Diceros bicornis minor: one gene and its partner. The protein of the gene in region 1 purifies or fractionates together with the protein of each later gene. This does not show direct contact. Links are inferred from orthologs where the notes say so. Each region holds a gene or a part of one and is shown on either strand. Other genes may lie near its edges.

Region 1 (6,925 bases):
GTGGAGGTGGGCTTTGTCTGAGCCTCATAGGACATGCAGGATCCATGCACCTTGCACTCCAAGGTGCCGGGCTCAGGCCCCAGGCACCCAGCTCCCTGTCATGCCGGAGGGAGGGTCCTCTCACCAGCCGGGCTGAGGCCCTGTCTGTGACCACCAGCTGTGGGTACGAGGCAGGCAGGTGGGGCCTCCACAGAGTTAGGTGAAGAGTGTCCCTGGGCCGCACCCTGCAGGCCCAGGCCTGGTGTGCTGTGAGTATGTTACAGGAGAGCATATTTGACCTCGGGGTGGGTGGGCAGGGAGCCCCGCTGTGGGTGTCCCAGCCAACTGGTGGGCATTGGCTTTCCTTGCAGTTGTACCTAGAGGAGGGAAAACCAGGGGCAGCAATAGACCCTCCTTCACCTCAACACCCCACTGGGATAGCAGAGTGCAGTGGTAACTATTATTACCCCCATTACAGAGGGGAAACTGAGGCACCAAGTCTGCCTCCAGCCTCTGCATCACACTGCCTGCAGGGGGCACTTCGACCCCTTCCCACACGGGCTCTGACCATGTCTGGCCCCAGGCAGGGGCCTGAGAAGCCTTGGTCAGCAGTCCCCAGAATGCTGCCTGGCTTTCCAGTGCCCCCAGGACTGCCCTGTGCTCCTCCCTGAAAGGCCCCCAGGGCCAGGGTTTCCCGTCCCTACACTCAGCCTCCACTCCCAACAGCTGCCTTCTCCCTGAGTCCCCTCAGCCATCGGGATCCATGGTCACAGAGCATCCTGCCCTACTTCTTACCCCCAGCAGCAGCTCCTCCCCACCTGGGCAAGGCTGTGTGGCTTGGATCCGTGCTGGGATCCGTGTCTGTGCTGGGCTGACCTCCACCCTCCCCGCCCTGTGCTGTGCTTTGGGGCCAGATCCAAGGGGCTCCAGGCGGGCCTCACGTGCTCAGAGGCAAGGAATGCTGCAGGGAGCACCCTATCTTGCGCTGGGGGCGGGGCTTTGCAAACTATTTTAGTCACTCCTCACAGCCACCTGAGGGAGGGACACACTATTTTGGCCCCCATTTTACAGATGACAAAACTGAGGCTCAGAGAGGTAAAATGACTTGTGCAATGTCACATGACTATAAGTGACAAATTTCAAACTCAGGTCTGACTCACAGCAAAGCAGAATCCCATATCAGAACCTCTCAGGGAACTTTTTTAAAAAATGTAGATTTTTACGCAGGTGGGCCCAGGAATCTACGTATGGATAAAAGCTGCCCTGGCAATACTCCAAGGGCGCCTGCAGGCAGGGGTGGGGGGCACTGACCACACTGTGATGCGCCCCCTCCCCCAACTCCCAGAGAGCTCTCAGCACCTGTAGCTATGATTTATTGAGCACCTACTGTGTGCTGGCACTGAGCTCCACCCTCACATGTGCTCCCTCTTTTTACTCTCACTCTTCCTTCTGAGAGGGGGATGTTTACAGTTGGGGAAACTGAGGCTCAGACAGAGATGACTAGGGGAAGCCAAGACAGGAAGCAGGAACCTCCTGCAGACTCCTGTCTCCTTGGGATGCAGAGAAGAAAGGGGAGGGGCTTCCTGGGGACTCACAGACTGGCACAGCTGGGATCTACCCTCTGACCTCCCCTGTGGGACCTCAGGGAGGCCACATCCATTTCCTCTCTGCTGGGTGAGGAAGCTCCTTCCTGCTGCTCTGATATTCTGGATCCTGAGCCAACGCCCAGGCCCAGGCAGGGCTGAGTCACTCCCTTCCCTGCAGTCCTGAGGCCAGCAAGCCCAGAGCCTCACCTCTGCCCTCTATTGGATGCCCCTCTGGTCAGTCCCTGGGCATGCACAGTGTGGGGGGGTATGCACCCATGCCCACGCATGTGAACATGAGTGTATGCATGTGTGCATATACATGTGTGTGCAGGGGTATACATGTGAGGCCCCCCCACATCTTTTTCTAAGAAGAGGGCAATGCCCCCACCATGGTGTCAGGTGTCCACTCAAGGCCCCAAGGGTGGTAGTGGAGAGAGGGTGGAAAGGCCTGAGGAGACCCAGGCAGGAGCGCCACCTCAGTGGGTCATGTAGAGCCCAGCCAGACATCCAGCCTGTCCAGTGTCAGCCAAGGTCTGGCCATGGTGGTCCCTGTGAGGCACGGGGGCGGGGCTGGTTGGAAGAGTGGGCCAGGCTACCCCTTTTCCTTCTGCATTCTCCTGAATGCAGTAGTGGCAGCCACAGGAGCCTGTTTGTAACCAAAAAGTCCCCCTCAGCCTCTCCCTTCCTACTCAGCAGCCTTGGTAGCCATTAGCACCTGAGGTAGGCCCTATCTGCACCTCCATGGCCAAATCCAGCCCCATAAATCAGAGGGCTGGAGGCCCTGAGGGTGTGCGGCAGGCAACAGAAGGTCTGGTGGCCACAGGGTGGCTCTCCTGAGCTGGGAGCACTGTGCCCTGGCCTCTTGCCAGCAGGCCCGCTCTGGACATCTTGGCTGGCAGACCCCACCGCCAGCCTCTGTCTTGGCAGCTCCTCCTCCTCCCCGCGAGGGTGACTTCACTTTGCAGATCTCTTGTTCAGCTCTGAGCCCAGCCAGGCAAGAGGGCGGGGCTCTGTGCACAGGAGGAAGAGGACACCCCAGGCCAAGGTACACTGGACCATCCCACCCCAAGGCCCCATGGGTTTCCATTCCTCTGCACCTTGGTGGAGGCCAGACCTCAAAAGGCAGCTAGAGGATAGGAGGAGAACAGCAGACTTTTCCCACAGAGGTCTGGAACACACTTCCAAGCTCACCCCAGGACCCTCCAAGTTAGAGGTCCAGAGCCTTCTCCTCCTTAGGATTGCATGTGTTTATGGGCATCATTTCTTTCGGCAAAAATTAAATTCTTTGGGGCTCCAGTTCCTCCCTGCTACTCTCTCCTACCCAATCAGTCCCTCTTCCTAAGAGTTCTATTTGGAAGGGGGAAAGGGTACCCATCCTCCAAGCACCCCATTAGGCCACCAGCGCCAGGTCTCTCTGAAAGGCGTGCCAGGCACCAAGTTTCCTGCCCCCTTTGGTTCGACCAGCCCTAAAGAGAGGGCTCACAAACCAGCCTTCCTACCCTCTCCCCCAGCGCGACCGCCAACATCGTACGTAAGCCACGCGCCAGGCTCGCCCCAGGGGTGCGCAGAAAGCGCTCCGGCCTCCCTTCCCTTGCCCCGGCTCTTCCGCTCTTCCCGCCTCGGGTCCCAGGGCAGGCCGCGCTCCCACCGCTCCTCCCTCCCTCTGAGAAATGGCGGAGGATGCGCTCCGCGCCGTGCCAAGAACCTGGAGGCGGGGTACCCGCCTAGTCTCCATGTCCTCTCGGGCGCACACCCAGCCAGTCCGCCCAGACTCCGCATCCCGGCGAGGTTTCCCTGCCCTGTCTGGGCGGCTGGGAAGGGCGAAGCGCAAGAACCGCGAGCGGGTGCACAGGATGAGAAAGAGTGGCTGTGCGTGCGGAGGTGCAAGGATTGGGGCTGCGGGTGGCAGGCCCGCATCCCGCGTCCGGCACCTCGTTCCTACTCGCGCCCCGCCCAGCCCGCATCCCGCGTCCAGCGCTCGTCTCCTACCCGCGCCCCGCCGGACCCGCAACCGGTGCAGCCGGACCGGGTACCCTCGAGCCCCGCCCCTACCCCGCACCCCGCCCGCACCCTGGCCCCGCCCGGCCTGCCGCCCGGCCCTCCCGCCGTCCCCCTCACCGCCCCGCCCCGCCCCTGCCCGCTCCTCCGGCGCAGTCCGCGCCCGCCCCGCCTCAGTCCCGCGACCCGAGCCCGGCGCAGAGCAACGGAGAGCGCCCCGGAGTCCGCGCCCCGACGCTCCGCGCCCGCAGTGTCTGCCGCGTCCGCCGCGTCCCGGGCGGGCATGGGGCGGCCAGGCTGAGCGCCGCACCCCGCCGCCGAGACCAGCCAGCCCAAGCCACCATCCCTCTGGCTGCGGCCCCGGCGCGCACGGGCGATGGGGAAGGCGACGGCCGGCGCCGCGGGGCTGCGGTTGCTGCTGTTGCTGCCGCTACTCGGCGAAGGTAAGTCTTGCCGGCGGCTGGTGCCCGCAACAGCCAGGGCGAAGTTGGAGCCGAGCAGCGGAGTGGACGCGTTCGGAAACGCATTCTGTGTGCCGCGGGCAGCGGGCTGCGCAGTTGCCAGCCGCCCGGGCTCGGCAGGGAGCGAGGTGGTGCGGCGGGCAGGGCGCCTCGGAGCCGGGCAGGGCGGGTCTCGGGCCGGAGCGGGACGCGGGACGCGCTGGGCGGCCGGAATCGGTGCCCAGGGCCCGAGCCGCAACTGCGCGTCCCAGCCTGGTCGCGCCTCACGCCGCAGCCGCGTCCTGGAGCGAACTGGACGGATCTTGTCGCCATTTGGGCGCAGGTAGGGGAGGACGGGTGAGGTAGCCCTAGAAAGCCTGCGACTTGCGCGAGGAGTTCTATTTCTGCAGAAGAGTGCCCCGTCTGGTTTCCTTTTCGCGCTCCACGTCCGCGCTCGCGTTCGTCCTTCAGCTCTGATACCCTGGCCCGCCGCGGGGTGCGAAGAGGATCTGCCCTTTTATAAAAGGTTGCTTGTCTCTTGTGCATTTTTTGCCGCACTAGTCTTTAAAAAACCTAAAGCCTGTGGTTTCTGGGGAGCCTGCCCTCGAGGGCCCGCTCAGACTGGCCCGGCGCAGCCGGCTGAGGGCCCTCCATGGGCCAAATTACACCCGGCAGCTTTAGAGTCGCGCGCCGCTGCCGGGCAGGGGCACCTGAAGCTGCGGCCTGTAGGACCATATGACGGCTCTGGGCCAACCTTTACCAAGAGCTTTTGACCTGCTTGGGGTCGGGTAGGGCTGTGTGCCGCCAGCGTCGGTGCTGGGAGCATTAGATGTGGCCTTGCAAAAGCTGGTCACTGCCCGCACCCCCAAACCCTGACAGGATGAACCCCAAGGCAGTAGAATCTCTGACGCCTTGGCTACACCACGGTCCCTCAAACCCGCCCTGACTTGCTCCCCTCCTGCAGTACTATGTGTGCACCAAGTTTCCCTCTGTGGGGAAGGAGCCAGGCCACCCTCCCCCACTGCTTACAAAGGGCTTTCTCTCCCTATGGCCTTTGGTCACCTGAGAGTTGTGGTCCCCTGCCTCTAGCCCCCGGTCCTGCCCAGACTCTGGATTCACAGGCCTGCCCAAGTCTTCGTTAGTGTGGCTGGATCCGGGGCTCAAGGAGCACCTACTGAAGCCAGAATGGGGTCCTCAGTCCGTCCTAGGGAGGACAGGAGAGAGACCCTTTCCTTGCCCTGGGGAGGAATAGACAGAGAGAGTCTGTTTCCAGTATTGGGACTCCCGGGTCACAGTGCTGCAGGGGGAAGACAGGCGGGAGGCTGAAGGCAGGGCAGAAGTAAACACAAACAAGGTGTTCTGAAAGTCTCTTGTAACTCTGGGTTGCAACTTTGTAGTTGTGGGCGTGTGGTCAGGTGTGAGCCCGAAGCCTGTGGTGCTGGGCAGCCTGTGCTGGCCTCAGCAGCCTACAGAGGATTTCCCCCTACCCTTCCACTGCCTTGCACTTAGCCTGGGGGCCCAGTGAGGCTGTGGGAGGCTGAATTGAGGGTTGGCCTGTGGCCCTTGGCAGGAATGCAGGTGGCTTTTCCACACCCCTGGCCCATGGTGTTGGGTGGCAGAAGACAGGCTCTCCAACCCAGGGAAAGTGAGCCCCCACCCATCCACCCTTCCCTTGTGATGACAAAGAAACCATGATTGGTGGCACTGAGATTGGAGAGGTGGTCCTGCAGCATCCAGGGAGAGGCAGCTGGGGTCTTTGGAGAGGCCTTGGGGGGCCCTTTACCAAAAGCAGCAACCCTGGAGCTGGTGAGCCTTGCTCTCGGTGCGCTGCTCCAGACTGCCACTGCTAAGCCCGGCTGCTGCACCCCGACCCTCCCAGACTGGGCGCAGCTCGGCCTGGGGGCGCCCTCTTGTGGACGCAGTGCTCCAGTGGCAGGGCCTGTTGCCTGGGGGATGGGCTGGGTCTCCAGAGGATGAAGGCGGTCCCCTGCTGGGCCAGACACCTCCCCAAGACAGGAAGCTCCCTTCTGTGCCAGGTGAGATGGCAGGGACGTGACCCAGATGAAGAGGCAGTGGGTGAGACCAGAGCGCAGGGGCAGAAGCAGCTGCCTCAGGGCTGGCAGGGGTGGGCTGGAGGGCCCAGGGATGCCCAGAGCAAGGCCATGGGACATAAACAGACCCCATGTCCCCGCCCATCCCCGTGTGCACACTCTCACTGTGTGTGACCACACAAACCTTCAGAAAAAGGTGCCAGTGGAAACACAGGCTCCCAGAGTAGGACAGGACTCCTTCTCCCTCACACCCTGGTATCTGTGCACGCACACATACACACCCTCACATCTATGCTCACACTCACACTCGATCATCACCAGGACACACTCGTGCCCTTCCTCAAGGATATGTGATCATGAGGCCTGTGGACACACACCCACTCCCTCAGCGTGACCTGGCCCCTCACACTCCACCCCACCCCCACCCCCACCCCAGGATCTCAGCGTCTCTCCCTGCCACTCAGGCACACAGAGACACCTGCCCCTCACCACCTCATACACTCAGGGCAGACCCATCAGCCCCAGGTGTCCTGGAACCAGAGCAAGGGAACCTCCATCTAAAAGTTGTTCTTAGAAGAGTTTTGCTGCTCAGCCCAGGTACAGCCATCCCTGTTGCCTGGATGAGGAATTGGAATCCCAGCTCCTGGGGCTCCCCCTGCGTGTCTCAGGCTGACCCCTCACCTGGCACCGTCTCCCTGACTCCCTGCAGCTCTCAGCAGGTCTCACGTCTCTCGTCTCCCTGGCCTGGCTTCTTGGGTCCCATTTTGCCCAACACCTCTGGCTGCAAGGAAGGACCTGCCCTCTCTGCCTGCGGACCCCCTGGGCCTTTCACTCCCAGGTACCAAAGAAGGGAAAACTTGCCATGACTTGA
Region 2 (7,488 bases), on another chromosome or scaffold:
TTTTTGCTTGAGGAAGATTGTTGCTGAGCTAACATCTGTGCCACTATTCCTCTATTCTGTATATGGGACTCTGCCACAGCATGGCTTGACGAGTGGTGCATAGGTCCAGGCCCAGATCTGAACCAGCAAACCCTGGGCCGCTGAAGCGGAGCACAGGAACTTAACCATGCCACCGGGCCAGCCCCCGCCATGAGAAGTCACTGAAGGAACAGAATGTCATGATATGAATGATGTTTTAGGCAGCACAGAAAAGAGCTTAGCCTTGAAAATATTGAGTAGGGAGGACTGCTCTTCAGACAGGAGGAAAGAGAGATGCATGATGATGTCTGAGAAGTGAGTTTTTGCAGAGAAAGTAGAGGTCCAAGGAGTTCACGTTGCACAGATCTGCTCTTCTCTGTGATTTTAGTGAGGGGGAGCTGGGCAGCACTGTGTAAGCCTTTCTGTTGCTTTGCCCCCATGGGGGCTCCCATCACCCACGAAAGTTGTCCCTTGCCCTCTCTGGTCACTGCAGTGACTTGCCACCATTTACTGCCACCAAGGTTCTTCTCCAAATCTTCTCTTCCTTGCCATGCCCTCTTCTTGATTTAGAGTTTTACTGCTAATTCCTCCAGGGAAGAGAGAGTAAATAAAAATTTTCTAGAACTTAATAAAGTCTGATCAGTCTCAGTTCCTGATCTAACCCCTACAGTCCTGAGTCTCTCTGAGGTGATAATGGAAACCTATCCTGGTTATGTATTGCTGTGTAACAAACCCCCAACAGAGTGGCTTAAAACAATGACAACATTTGTTTTGCTTATGAATTTGTAATCTGGGTAAGGCTCAACAAAATTGGCTCATCTCTGCTCCATTTGGCCTCCATTAGGCTGGCTTGAAAGCTGGGGCTGGAATCATCTGGAGGCTGGCTCACTCACAGTTGATGCTTGCTGTCAGCTGGGCCCTAGCTGGACTGTTGGCCAGAACACCTTCGTATGAGCTCTACATACAGCTTGGGCTTCCTCACAACATGGTGGCTGAGTTCCAAAGGTGAGTGTCCCAAGAGAAAGAATTAGGTAGAAGCTGCATTGCCTTTTATGACCTGACTTCAGAAGTCATGGCAGCATCATTTCCGCTGTATTCTATTTATTAGAAGTAAGCCACTCAGGGAGTGGAATTAGACTCTACCTTTAGATGGGAGAAGTGTCAAAGAATTTGTGAACATGTTTATAAACCACCGTAAACTCACAGGGCTTCTGCACTCTGTCTTTATTCACTTGATTGATGAGTGGAGAGTGGGGACCTCACCTTTTCCCCTCCTTTACACCTTTCCTTGGGGATCCAAGAGGAAGGTTAGGTCTGGAGATATAGCCAAGGAAGAGCAGCTATTCAGGCCTCGAATTAGACACACTTGGATTTGAATCCTGGCTCTGCCATTTATCAGCTCTGTGTTCTTGGGTAAGTCACTCAACCTTGGGTAAGTCTCATTTTCTTCATCTGTAAAATCACAGTATTCTCATGGGTTTATTGCAAGGATTAAATGAATTAATAGATGAGTTACATAATACATAGTAAACACTCAATGAGTGTTAACTATTGCTGATATGATTATTCAATACGTGTTTATTACTATTTAATTAACTCAATCTTAGGTGAGTTCTGGGCTAGACGCTGGGATTGTGAAAATGACTATGAAGGGATTCAAGCTTCCAGGAACCTAAAGCTTAGGGGGAGATGTTTTCAAGCATGTGGGCAGAGAGTCCAGGATTTGGAGTCAGCCAGAACCAATTCTCATTCTGAGTTTGCCCGTAGTTTCTAGCTGTGGGAACTTAGACCAGTCTTTTTTACTTTCTCAGCCATAGTTTCCTCAGTTGAAAATGAGAATTATAATAGAACCTACCTCACTGAGTTCTCAGGAGGATCAAATGAGATAATCTATATAAAAAGCTTAGCACTGTTCCTGGAACATGGTAATTACTTAATAAATGTTAATTATTAATTTCATTTATCAGGAAGTAGGCTAATAAATGGATATATTACAGTCCAACGTGGAAAATGCTCTACTAGATGGGGAAGCAACCTGCTAAAGGAGTCCAGCAGAAGAGATTAACTTTGTCAGGAGTAATCTCAGAAAGCCCAGAGGAGGTGAGGTTGGAATTGGGCTTTGAAGAATGAGTAAGAGTTTTCGGGCAGGGAATGAGGAAAGAGAAGATATTCTGGGTGAAGGGAAGAAGATCTGCAAAGGCATGAAGTTATAGGTGTCGACATGTTTGGAGAAAGGTGATAAATTCAGTGTGGGAGTATAAGGTGTGTGGGATGGAGGGGTTGAGGCTGGAAAAGGGAGTTCAGGTCAAAACATTGGCTCAAGAAACCTGCTGTCTTTATGCCACACTTGGTAGAGTGTAGAGAAAGGCCACTGGCTGGGCTGGAGCAAGGTTTTGTAGGTGGAACAGATGGACTCAGGGGTAGATTTCATGTGTGAATGTGAGGCAGGGCAGTGAGGGAAACAAAGGCCAGCTGCTGAGGAGTCAGGGGAGGAGGGCAGGGTTTGAGTGGATGGAACAAAGTTATGGGATGCAGAGTCCAAAAACCTGCCTCTGAACCCACCTGGGATACTTCTGAGCATCTCCATGATCTTGAGATTGTCATACTATTGTGGCCTTCGTTTCCTATCAGTAAATAATATGGCCTCTCCTATCTGCTACACATAATTGTTGTGAGAAAGAAAAGAGGTGATGAGTATGTAAGTGCTTTGTAAGCAGTAAATAACTAAACAAATATTAGACCCAATGCTATTAGGGAGGCAGTCAACTGCATGGAATAGCACAGCTAAAGCAGAGTTTAGGTGAAGTGGAAGGTGGGGGATATCTGCCCTGGGGTGAAGACAAAGATAAGCACAGCGATCAATACACACAAACACACACACAGACACACACACACACTACAGACAAATACAGCGTTTTGCGTTTTCCACGTTGGGCTGGGTCTACAGGAGGGCAATTGGAAACTCTCAATCCCACCACCAGTGACCCCACCAATTGTCCTATAGATGCTCTCACCTGTCGCTTGGACATGAGGTGGTCCAAAGGTCCAAATCTGGAGTCTTTGGCCGGGCTTCAGGTGTCTGGGGAACCATGAGATTTTGTGAGCAAAAGCTCATGCTGTATAATTCTGAGGCTAAAATCTGTAGTCTCCAGCAGACTGAGAAGGATCTGTGACCCCCCACAGGTTAAGGGTCATTGATTTTCTCACCAGCAATTAATAAGAATAGCTATCCTAGGGGAGAAGGACTGGTAGGAGAAGGGCGAAGATTTTCATTTTCAATTTTCGACTTTTCTGATGTGTTTGAATTTTCTAACCACTACCATGTGTTAGTTTCATTGAAAAAACTGCCATCAGGGGTTGTCTGGGTGGTGAGATAATGGGCCCTTTTTAGATTTCATCTTTATACCTCTTTATATCAAACAAACACAACAAATACTAATAGCTATTATTTTTTAAAAACTCTGAGAGCGTCAGCACACATACAAATCTCTCCATTATGCAAAGTACATCCTCTGTTATGTAAGGTAAAATGTCTACATTTCCTATAAACTACTAGCTTTAATGCAGTAAAACTTGCATTTGAAGTAGAGGAGATGAGACGAAAAAGAAAAAGGCAGGCAATTTCAACTATTTCAACTCAGACGCATAAAAATAGCGTGTCTACGTGTCAATCTTCATATGTACTGTTTTCTGCATTCTCCTGAACTGGCCACTGTGCGAGCCGTTGGCGTTTGATGCTTGAAGCGACGGAACGGAGGACAGGGTTAAATCCACTACCCTCTCCCCACGCACTCTAGTAATTACTCTATTTCCACGTCATGTTTCCGGGTGTGTGTGTCCCAACTCACGCAGAAACTGAAGTTCAAAGCAGGCAGGAGTCACCCATATTCTTTTTGCTGTCCCCAGAAACCCAGTTCAGGCGTTGGGCCCCCTGAGGATCTGGCGATACCTGGGGACTGTCTAACTGGCTGATTCCCACGTGGTAAGTGGCTCCCAACCTCGCCCCCACGTGGTGTTCAGTGCCGGGAGAAGGGAGAGCAGGCAGAAGAGAGCCGCATCAGGGGCATTTAAAGTGTCTTGACGTCACGCACTGCCAGGAACTCAGCTGAGTTTTCAGCAGGACATTCCGGTCATCTTCCCTCCCTCCCCCCGGGCTTCTGCGCCCAAAGCCTCTGCTCTTCCCTGTTGTTGCGGAGGGAGGAGCAGTAAGCCTTCGGAACAGCCAGCATAGGGGCGTTCCCAGCCTTGTCTTGGCTCCGCCCTTTCAACCAGAGGCTCTCCTCATTGGTCGGTGGGTGGGGCTTTGGGTGTCCCGCACACGCACTAGGGCCTCTGGGTGGCCGAGAAAACTGGCCGTCTCATGAATTATGCAGCAGCGGCTTGTCCCGGCCAGGCTGGGGCTGGGCGGGGATTGGCTGGAGGGGCTGTAATTCAGTGGTTTCCGGAGCCGCGGCGGCGTAGACCGGGAGGGGGAGCCTGGGGTTCCGACGTCGCCGCGGAGAGAGTGAGCCCGAACCGGATCCTTGACGAGCGCCCCAGCACGGCCCTCTCTCTCCGCGTCTGCTAGGAGAGGCCCCAAGGCCTGAGGGAGACCCGCGGCCTAACCCCGGCGCAAGCGCAGCCCCGGCCTGTCGGGCCTCAGCCCGTGAAACAGGTGAAGGAGGTGAAGGGTGGGGCCGCCCCCCGACGGCCCCCAGACCTGGGGACCCCGGGGATACCGGAGGGGCCGGAAGCCTCTCGGGTGTTTGGGGGAGCTGTGGATGGAAACTTCAGCGGAGCGGGGGATTACGAGGGGACACGGAGGGTCGCTCTGAAGGGACAACTCCCCGGGATGACAGGAGCGGGCCTCTGAAGGGACAGGGGGCACTGGAAGGAAGTTTCGTTCTTTGGAGAAAGGGGGGACGCCGAGGAAGAGGGAGAACGGGCTGGAGGGGGAGTACCTTGGGGCGAGGGCACCTGGGGTGGGGGTGGCAGGAGTGAGGGACAGCCCCCCGACTTCCTGCTCCCTGGGGCTCTGGGGACGTTCCGGCCACAGGAGCGACTGTCACGCCGCGGAGATCACCGGGAGGGGGGGTTGGAAAGAGCCTCCTCCTGTCCCCCGGCGGGCCTGGCGGCTCCCGGCTGAGCCACTTCCTCCGCCTTGCCCTGTTCCCGCTCCTTAGGAGCCAGCTCTGCCGCTCTGGAGGTGGGAATAGGTGTCTTCCCTTACAGCCTCACAGGCTGGTTGGTTGTGCGTAGGATTATTGCATAAGAATCGAGTTTCCTGTAGGGAAATTGACAGTCTCGTACTCTTTCTAAATTCCCTCCCGTCTTTTTCTAGGTTAAACCGTGCTTCCCTCCTACTCCTTCTGAAAAAACATAATAAAACCCCCATCAAGCCAGCTCTAGAGAGAAATAAACCTCTTTCCTCCTTGACATTGTTCTTTTATAAACACCTGGTACATTCAGCCAGAAGATAAATAATTGAGCCCTTGCGTTTACGGGATTGTGGTATTGCTTAATTGAATAGGACAGAATGAACCAATCGAGAGTGGGAGTTTTCTGTCTCAGAGCCAAGATCTTGGGTAAACGCAGAGGAGAGGGAAACAAAGACAGGCTGGCCTTGGCAAAGCCATGTGTGCAAACTTTACCTGTGTTTGGGGGTGTGGTTGGGCTTAAGTTAATAAAATTCCAACCGTCACCCAAGTTGCTTCTCCATGTGTAGTACACATACATCCCTCTGTGTTGTATCAAATGGGTGTATGGTGTTGACACACTTTTTCTTATTAAAAATGTATCTAACGTACCTGCTGGTTTTTATTGTGTGTGCATCTAAAGGGTATATTTATTCTGTGTATGGGATGTAACTTTGGGGCTGACTGTGCTGATAAAGCATTGATTTCAAGAAATCAGAACAGTAAATCATCTCAGTCTTTTATATGTGAATTTAGACTGTTATGACTTGATTCTGCCAATTTTCTATTTTATTTTATATTAAATGTGTGTGTTCCCTGAGTCAAAGGTTATTTCCTTATTACATGTGCCAGACTGGAGTAGTAGCAGAATTTTTGCTTACACATTTGTATAGTGGGATGGGAGGAAGAAGTCTGCAATACAAAAAAAAATTGTTGTAGATGTTGGAGGGCTGATCTTAGCTTCTATATTTGTTAGCACATCCCCCACAAAGAACCACTAGCAAATTCATGAATATTTTACTTTTATATGTAGTTCTTTTGGGAAGAATAACTATTTAGAACTATCCAGTTATGACTTGACCCACAAAAGGTAAATGGTTCATATAACGTCAACCCCGTTTTGGTAATAAGGAAATTGAGAACAAAGGAAAAAGACCCTTGCCCAAGGTAGCAGAGTGCCGTAGTGGTAGAACTCATCCCTTCTGTATCTTTTGTGTTCTTTGACTATCTATGCTTAAGTATTAGGTCTTGATTTAGAGTGAGTGTAGGCCCTGCTGGGAAAAGTGTTACTGAAATTCTAACATATACCTAGACAGTGAAATACTACCAATAGGTTGTAAGACTCCAAGGGTGATAGTTAATAAACAGGTAAAAAAAGAAGTACAAATCGGGTTTGCTTAGGTTATTTTTCTGTCTAACTGCTATGACTAACATGGGAAGTGACTAACTTTTTTTATTCTTATTGTTATTTTTTTAATGATTATTTTTTATTTTTTTTGTGGAGAGGATCAACCCTGAGCTAACATCCATGTCAGTCCTCCTCTTTTTGCTGAGGAAGACTGGCCCTGAGCTAACATCTGTGCCCATCTTCCTCCACTTTATGTGGGTTGCCGCCACAGCATGGCCTGACAAGCGGTGTGTTGGTGGGCGCTGGGGATCCGAACCCAGGCCGCCAACAGTGAAGTGCGCGCACTTAACTGCTATGCCACGGGGCTGGCCCCTGGAAGTGACTAACTTTTTAGTTGGCATAATTTACCATCAGAATTTAGCTATTTGCTAATGGAAAGAGATATTTATTTAGGCAAGCTTGTAGGTGAAGGATGGTCGTGACCTAAATGTCCCTTAAACCAAAGTGCCTTGTGGCTTGATCAGTGGTCATTTGTGTCTCCAGAAAGTTGCTGTCTTCTCCCTGCCTCTGAGTGTCTTGACATTCAGATGTGAAGTGGGGCAGAGGTAGGGACCATCACTCCAGCTGCTGAGTCCAGCACCTTTTTATCTTATGGCTTTTTCAGAGGTAGTGTACAAATTAACAAATATTTACTTTTTGCATCTTTGTGAAAGTTGCTATGAAGAATAAGATGCCTTAAAGGTTCACAGAACTTGCAGTCTACTGAGGCAACTTGATAAATGCTTTATCCATACAATGCAACATGTCCTCAGAGAGATGGTGAGACATTAGCCTGCACTGTCCAACAAAGTAGCTATTATATATTAAAAACATATAGCATAGATATAGAACGTTTCTGTTATCATAGAAAGTTCTCTTGGACAGTGCTGCACTAAGAGCTACAGGTCT

Evidence for each region.
Region 2: the proteins of RET (region 1) and STAT3 purify together in Homo sapiens (affinity purification with western blotting; 3 studies listed by BioGRID and IntAct, with this or other methods). This does not show direct contact. The link is inferred for Diceros bicornis minor from reciprocal best matches to the Homo sapiens genes RET and STAT3.

Annotation. Positions count from the first base shown.
Region 1 is NC_080745.1:14,922,471-14,929,395, forward strand, and holds the start of RET (proto-oncogene tyrosine-protein kinase receptor Ret), read left to right. Parts: upstream 1-3,822; 5' UTR 3,823-3,939; coding exon 3,940-4,006; intron 4,007-6,925. UniProt on the Homo sapiens protein: Receptor tyrosine-protein kinase involved in numerous cellular mechanisms including cell proliferation, neuronal navigation, cell migration, and cell differentiation in response to glia cell line-derived growth family factors (GDNF, NRTN, ARTN, PSPN and GDF15).
Region 2 is NC_080757.1:41,524,000-41,531,487, reverse strand, and holds the start of STAT3 (signal transducer and activator of transcription 3), read left to right. Parts: upstream 1-4,462; 5' UTR 4,463-4,672; intron 4,673-7,488. UniProt on the Homo sapiens protein: Signal transducer and transcription activator that mediates cellular responses to interleukins, KITLG/SCF, LEP and other growth factors. Once activated, recruits coactivators, such as NCOA1 or MED1, to the promoter region of the target gene.